Linked DNA regions of Nothobranchius furzeri. The protein of the gene in region 1 interacts with the protein of each later gene in a pairwise test. Links are inferred from orthologs where the notes say so. Each region holds a gene or a part of one and is shown on either strand. Other genes may lie near its edges.

What was found.
Region 2: the proteins of disc1 (region 1) and fryl interact in a two-hybrid assay, tested with the Homo sapiens proteins (2 studies listed by BioGRID and IntAct). The link is inferred for Nothobranchius furzeri from reciprocal best matches to the Homo sapiens genes DISC1 and FRYL.

What each region holds. Positions count from the first base shown.
Region 1 is NC_091752.1:2,312,077-2,315,676, reverse strand, and holds the start of disc1 (disrupted in schizophrenia 1 protein), read right to left. Parts: upstream 2,425-3,600; 5' UTR 2,205-2,424; coding exon 2,135-2,204; intron 4-2,134; exon of another isoform or gene 1-3. UniProt on the Homo sapiens protein: Involved in the regulation of multiple aspects of embryonic and adult neurogenesis. Required for neural progenitor proliferation in the ventrical/subventrical zone during embryonic brain development and in the adult dentate gyrus of the hippocampus.
Region 2 is NC_091748.1:39,410,206-39,414,027, reverse strand, and holds the start of fryl (protein furry homolog-like), read left to right. Parts: upstream 1-891; 5' UTR 892-1,123; coding exon 1,124-1,340; intron 1,341-3,822. UniProt on the Homo sapiens protein: Plays a key role in maintaining the integrity of polarized cell extensions during morphogenesis, regulates the actin cytoskeleton and plays a key role in patterning sensory neuron dendritic fields by promoting avoidance between homologous dendrites as well as by limiting dendritic branching.

The sequences.
Region 1 (3,600 bases):
CAGAAGCACACCAGCACATCTGCATGTCAGCACCCCACTGAGAAGACAGATGTGCAACATCTCGCCACTTGTGACAAGCTTCAGCCACAGAAATGGGGAAGTGAAAATCTGCTGCGTCTATTTGAAAACAAGAGCATTCAGTTGACAGGAAACTCTAATTTCATGTGTGAAATTCCAGGACTGATTATCGGCACCGAGCTTCACTTCCCGTGTGGTCACATGAGGGTCGTGCCGCAGTGGAACTGTATTTATGTATTATGCTTGTACCGCTTCAAAGTCATTCAATTTACACCTAAAGCTGAACAGAAAGGAGTCACATAAACACGAACAGGTCCATCTTCAGAATCCTGGGCTTTTTTCTTTTGTGTTTTCACCTCATAAACATAAAAATATCCTATTTTGTCTAACAAATTGAACAAAAAATACATCAAAAGAAATGTTTAATCTAGGAAATAGATTTTAAAAAAATTATTAAGATAATTATTCTGAATAAGGATGACCAGTCCAGGCTGAGAAGGAATTACTTTTCAAATGTAGGAAACCAGAGTGAGAATGCAGAATTAAATGCAGAATCCACTAAAAACGATAATACTTTCATTAATGCGTTCATTAGTGGGTTGTACCCGTTAAAAGTTAGAAAACAAAAGGCAACTGAATTTTACAAGCTCATCATAGTTTCACTAACACAACCTATCAAATTGCCTCATTAGGTGAATTCATCTCTGTTGTTTTTTGTATTTTGATCATTTTTCATTTCAATCATTCTGAACATAAATATTATGTTACTGCAACCGATTATTTCCCAGTTATCGGTTTCAATTTTCTTTCAAGATCATGTGGGAGTTATACACACACACACACACACACACACACACACACACACACACACACCCGGGGACAATTCAGAGTTGCCAACTTACTAATATTCATGTTTGTAGACTGTGGGAGGAAACCAGAGAACCTGGAGAACATACAAGTATCCTTCCTGGAGTCCAAACCCTGGAACTGATGTCTCCGCCCCAGCAGTGCTACTAATGGCATCATCATGCTGCTCCAGAAGTACAAAATACTTTTGCATAAGTTCCCGTTTGTGACATCATATGGGGTAAATAGAATAGATGTCTGTCGCTTGTGACAGCGGGAGACGGGCGTGGGGGCTGGATGCTTGGCCTGGGGGGACCAAGCAAGGCCTGGCATCCTGCCAGGCTTGAAAGGCGCTGGGGGGAACCCTGGTTTTGGTTTTGGGCTGAAATTTTACATTTTAATTAAGTTGCACTAAACTGCCTAAATAATGACTACACACGACTATTAGACACTCATCTGTACAGGTTTTCAGCAAAAACGTTGAATAGGTGTTTCTCGCTCTTTAAAGTGACAGAGCCTAGAAATGGCTCATTCTGGAAGGTACTGAAACTCTCAAGAATTAGTACAAGTTCAAGTTTTGTATCGACCATAGAACTGTTTTAACCCTCCCACTGTCCCAATGGGTGTGACCCCACGAGGAAAGTTGACCATTGAGCAGGGTTGATGGTTTATCCCTTGGGTCCATGTGGCAGGGGTGAGGAGTGAGCACCACCTTAACCGTTGTATTAAAAAAAATCTGCTTGTTTTTTAGAATTTTTTAAATTAGTAGTTGTTTGTTTTTCATTTCAGTTCTGTTCATTCTTCAACAACGCCATAGGGATTGAAACATGCTCACCAGTTAAACCCATATTTTACATTTATGACCAACAGCACAGTACAATAAAAATATTACTTTACCTGAATAAACACACACGTGCGTTTACTGGTAATAACTAAAACACTACTAGTGTCTGAATAATTCTGTTTCTGAGGAAATTGGATAACATTTTTTGCAAACAGTCTTATTGTTTATTCTGATTGGCAAAATATTTTTATCCCCCATCATCCCTGCCCCTTTAGGAACCTTTGACCTCTATGACCTCTGAGAACATTGTTTTTATTCTCTATATTCGTGATTTTCCTCCGATTACGTTTACAAAAGTTTTCTAACCTTCCTGTTTTTATCTCGCTGCACATTTTAAAAAACAGCTCTACGAGGACTCACCGCAGCAGATCCCAGATCAGTTGGTGTGAAAAGACAAGTTACACCTAAAACAAGAGCAGATTTTACCTTCTGTGACTCCGCAGTTGTGGTGCAACGACTTCCGGTGACCCTCCAGTCCCACCAGTCCAGCAAACATCTTGTTTTGGATGTTAAAAGCGGTTGTCAGTCAGAGATCCCGGTTCCGGAGGGTTACATCGACCATGTTTTTAGGAACCAAGCGAAAGGAGCTGATCTCATTTCCGTTGTGGAAAATCAACCCTGTTTTTTTGTCTTTTAACTCAGTTCTGTTCAGCAGGAGAAAGCGGCTCCTTCAGACACATCCGGACTGACAGACTCGGATCTGGACTCTGGAGCAAGGCTCGGTTACAAAAAGCCGCCAGCTTGTTTTCAGCAGCATAAATCCTTGTATCCGTTTCCTTGGCGCACAGATTGGACAAACATCCGGTTGTTAGACGGCTGAACGAGACTAATCTGTGCGCTGGCAGATTGATCACTGAACGGTAATCCAGTGTTGGATCCGTTAGTCGCTGCGCTGTGCCCGTGCGTCATGCGTCATAGAACCGCGGCGTAAAGGAGGAGAGGAGAGGAGCTATACGTGTTCAGGAATTTGACTCCAAACTCCTCCGGCCCGCCTCAGAGGACCCTCCACTAAACTAAATACTGCGCTTAATTCTGTTTTTATTCCTAACTTCAGACCAACAAACGGAAAAAAGTCAATTAAAGTGTCATTATTTTTAATCCAGTTATTAAAATGGACTCAAAAGAGTTAATTAAAGTTAGTAATTGTGTGTTAAACGGTGGTTTCACGTGACAGCAACAATTATTTCGTTGTTTAGTTTTTTCCTAAGCTCCAGATTCCACAGCTGTCTCTCCGTCCTTCTTCCCACGCTTTCAAAGGCTCCTTTCACTCCGCTCGGCTGGCGGATGAACGACTCAGTTCACATGCACACCCACAATAATCAGCAAACTGCCTCCGACTGGACCTCTGCTTCTGGTGTCCTTTTAAATCACACACATTAAAGCCAATACGGTTTTCTACGTCAGATCCAAATAACTTCTCTCATTCTGCAGCTTCTTTCTCCTTTTCGTCTACATTACTGACATTTTAATTCAAATGAATGGCTTAAAATTGGGTTATTTGTAAGACCTGAATTTGTTTTACTACTTTTTACACGGCTGCTTGTATAAATGTGAACAGCAATTGAAATCTTAATTCCGTTAGTAATGCAGTACTGCGGTATTGCCGCAGGAGGGCAGCACGTCATTGCCTAACCTCAAAGGAAACGTTACTATCGTGCGAAATAAAACGTGAATTGTTTTTATGCTATATGACTGAGTTTAATGAACTTGAACATTTGTTTGAATGCTTTTTTAAGCACACTAAACAAAATGTCCTACATGTGACTGTCACATACATTACACAGAACTAAAATGGTCAGATCTGAATCACATCTGGAAGTTGGAGACTTTAAGTACTCTAGAAGGGTAGTAATAATAATAATAATTATTATTATTATTATTAAGTCGGAATG
Region 2 (3,822 bases), on another chromosome or scaffold:
AGTTTGGTTCTTTGGCACCAGATGTCCTTTTCAATCACAAAAAGAGATGACATGGAGAGGACAAGAAACACTGATGATAGGTTAAACACGAGAGTTTCATTGTTGAAATATCTTAGTATTTCATTGTTGTTGAGAACTGTTTGTTCTTGAATGGCTTATTAATTTTTGGAACTTGCATCAGTAAACATCAAATTGAAGATTTCTTTAGGCGGTGAGCTTTCCAAAAGCATCAGGACAGTGTACTCCATCTGAGTCTGCTAGAAGGTGATTCTTGCAAGGGTTTGAATTTGCTGCAGGTACAAGCTGTGCAGCTAAGCAGAGCGCACAGCTCCGTTTCCCAGACACCATCACTTTTACCATTCTGCTATTATTTGTTTTTATTAATAGCTCTGCAAAGTCAAGCAGAAGTGAAAGCCAGGCAAAGGGTGCTCTCGATATTTAACAAATGCAGCAAGAAAACAAACAGGAAACTTTTGTTTATGTGGAAATACAAACAAGTGACAATATTTTAACTTTGATAAGTATTATCAGTAAATGCAGGCAGACAAGTCAAGTCAGCTCCACGAAGATTTCCTACTTCTGGTGTCTGTCAGTCTTCCTGTTCCTTTCTTGGTCTCTGACTTAACAACACAGGCCAGAAAGGTGTGGCCACCCTCATTGCTGTTATGATTGGCTGGTAGCCTGGGTTGTGTTATCTCCTGTCAAACATGCTGTTGTCCCACCCCAGATAGGGCCTGGCATTACACTTAGCCCGGCCCACTCTCAGTTACATCACAACCTGTGGAAAGAGCCTTGCATTTTTGCTTTCTCTTTACCCTGAACGGGCAGGTAATGCTGCATTGAAGGAGGTGTCATGTTGCCTCGTGAGTTTCACCTCTTTGAGAAACTTTAGAGACCGTGTGTGTGTTTTAGTGAGTATGGGCCTGCAGATATATGCCCCGATGCAGTGTAATTGTAGCTCCGCTGCATGCCAGTAAACACTCGACACAGGCACTGGACTCTTTTGCCTGCTTCTCTGTAAATGGGGCAGATCGAGCAGACGGGTCGTTTGTGTGGCTGCATGGTGCGGCACAGGTGTTCTTACTTCTCACCAGAGTGAGAGATCTTTAAAAGTTCCGCTAAAATGGATTTTCTTAAGAGCCTGGTTCCAGCCGTGATCTCAGGGGAGGCACCTGTTGAACATGGGGTAATCTTACCCAAAGAGTCGGGTCCACGACTCCTTCGCATGAAAAGACTGGGTCTGCTCACCATGGGACAGACCATCGAAGAAGATCCAGTAGACCCAGTGATTAAAGTTCATTCAAGATTGAGCTCCTCCAGACCTCAAACCCGCGTCAAAGGTACCGAAAGCACTTACTAATGGTGGGTTAACTGGGTTGACCCAGTTGTTGCTGTATAGGTGCCTTTTGGAAATGACAGAGTAGATCTCTACTTGTATGTAATTAAAATAGTTTGATGCTGACTGACTGTGTAGACATTACCACAGTACTGAATGCAACTTTGTAGTACTGTATTTTATTTTCTGATTACCACCAAGTTAGATTAGCTTTGTGCTCCACCAAAGCCTAAATGTCAATTTGTCTTAGGTGTGTGTCCTGCTCTGTGTTTGATAATGCAAACACAGACATAGAAACGTTGCAAAATAGCAAGACTGTTAAATGGCTGCTCAGTCTCAGCTGGATTAAGACAAATCTTCAAAAGGAAGGCATAGTTGGTTTAAATAACCACCTTGAGTAAGCTTTAAAAGCAGTTATCAGCACAAAGTAATCAAGAATTTAGATTCAGTTTATCTACTTATATTACTCATTTCATAAGATTTCGAGCATTGCTAAAGGAGTTTTTCAGAGTGGGGTTATGTCAGAAGAAGGAACAATGGTCATCTGATCATCAGACCCAATCTTGAAGTGAGTGCCAACAAAACATGTTTGTTTGGTTAGCTGGCCCCCTCCTCAAACTAAAGACTTGTCCAAATAATAAACAGCAATCAGACAAAGTGGAGTTGGAGCCCTAAAAGACGTAGGAAGGGTGCTGAAGAGTACTGAGTTCAGTCAGGTTATTACAAAGAAAATAAACCTGTAAAGTAAAAAAAAAAAAAAAAAAAGATGCTTACAGCAATTAGCAGAAAATAGTCCTTTAGTATTTTTTATTTAATATTATTTAAGTGATTTCATGCTATGTCAAACTGCACATAAAGTATTTGAATTGTTCTCCATTTGTTTAATGAGTTTGAGACATCAAGATTTCAGTTAAAACTTCTCTGCGGTTTTAATTTACAAGTGGCTGAGCTCTAAAAGAATCATGGCTGCTGACACTGTTTTCAGCCCTTCTGTTTACTGTCAACACGCGTTTTCCTCAACTAAAAACAGTAAAAGTTGATCATATCAGAACTTTGCTTTTGTTCTGCGTAGCACCTTGCTGCTCGTCGTGTTCCAGAGTTGGGTAGAAAACTCAAAAAGTCATTCTTATGTCCCCCACACCGTGAACTATGAAAAGTTGTGTTAATATCGGTGTTTGCCATCTTACCCACAGGTTTTTAATTGAATAACATGTACATCTGTTTAAAAATCAAATAATCTAAAATGTTGGTCTGCCATGACAAATCAACTTCCTAATCTTTTAAAGATGAAGACTGAGTTTTTCCTGTGCTGAAGGACGCACTGAAAGCAAGCATTGAAGCTCCTTTGCAAAGCATTTGAAAAGGTTAATCTACTCTTAACGGGGCTGCCATCGGATACTTCCAGGTCACTTAACTCAGGAACCATCAAAGAAAAAATCACTTCAAAACCCCTTTGGTTCTATTTTGTTGTTTGTTTTGCCCACATGCAATAAAATGGTTCTTGTCATGCACATGATGCATAAAAAGGATGTGATATAAAATCAAAATAGAACCTGCTGTTATCTCATTAAGGTTTAATTAATGCTAGATTATGTTGACTATATTGTGTCTAGGTACATTTTAAAATGGCAGCACATTTGGTGTTTGTACTCTTCTTCGTTTAAATTGGCCAGTAAGAATTTGTGTAGATGTAAAGGTAATAGAACAATAAATCTATATTAATTAGGATCATAGTGTTCATCTTTGTGAGTCACGTTTGGTGGGAGATTTGTATCTGATAATCTATTATTCTGTTGCATTCTGACGCTTTTCAGAGAGCACGAGTTAAGAGTAGAAATAGTTTTAGTTGAGGCAGCAGCTAAAGGCTTACATGCATGCACACATACATGTTTATGTAGGTCAAGACCATTGAGTTTGATGCAATAAGATGATAACTTTCATCAGTATCTCCAAATCTGTTTTGCTGTGCTACCTGTCGGAGCATGCTGGCGTACCTGTTTGCTCGTGGCTAAAGCATGACTCAAACTCCTGCTAAACTCACCGTACCTGTTGGTATCTGAGTAAAGAACTAGTCAGGCTAACCACAACAACCCACATAAACACACTTTACTTTAGAGCTTTTGAATCTGTTCAGTTAGTATTTAGTCTTAACAGTTAATTTGAGGTAATTATTCAGTTTTTATTTTAGAATTTTTGATTTGGGTTTTTAATACTGATCATTGTTAGTTGCATAATTTTTTTTTCTGATGACCAATATAAAGCAATATATAGTGTGTGTGCGTGTGTGTACACACACTCACACACACACACGCACATATATATATATGTATGTATATATGTGTGTGTGCATGTATGTAAGGGCTGCATGGTGGCACAGTTGTTAGCACTGTTGCCTCGCAGCACGAAGGTTGCAGGTTCGAGACTCGGCTGCGACCTTTCTGCGTGGAGTTGCGTGTTCTCCTCATGCATGTGTGGGTTTTCTTCCG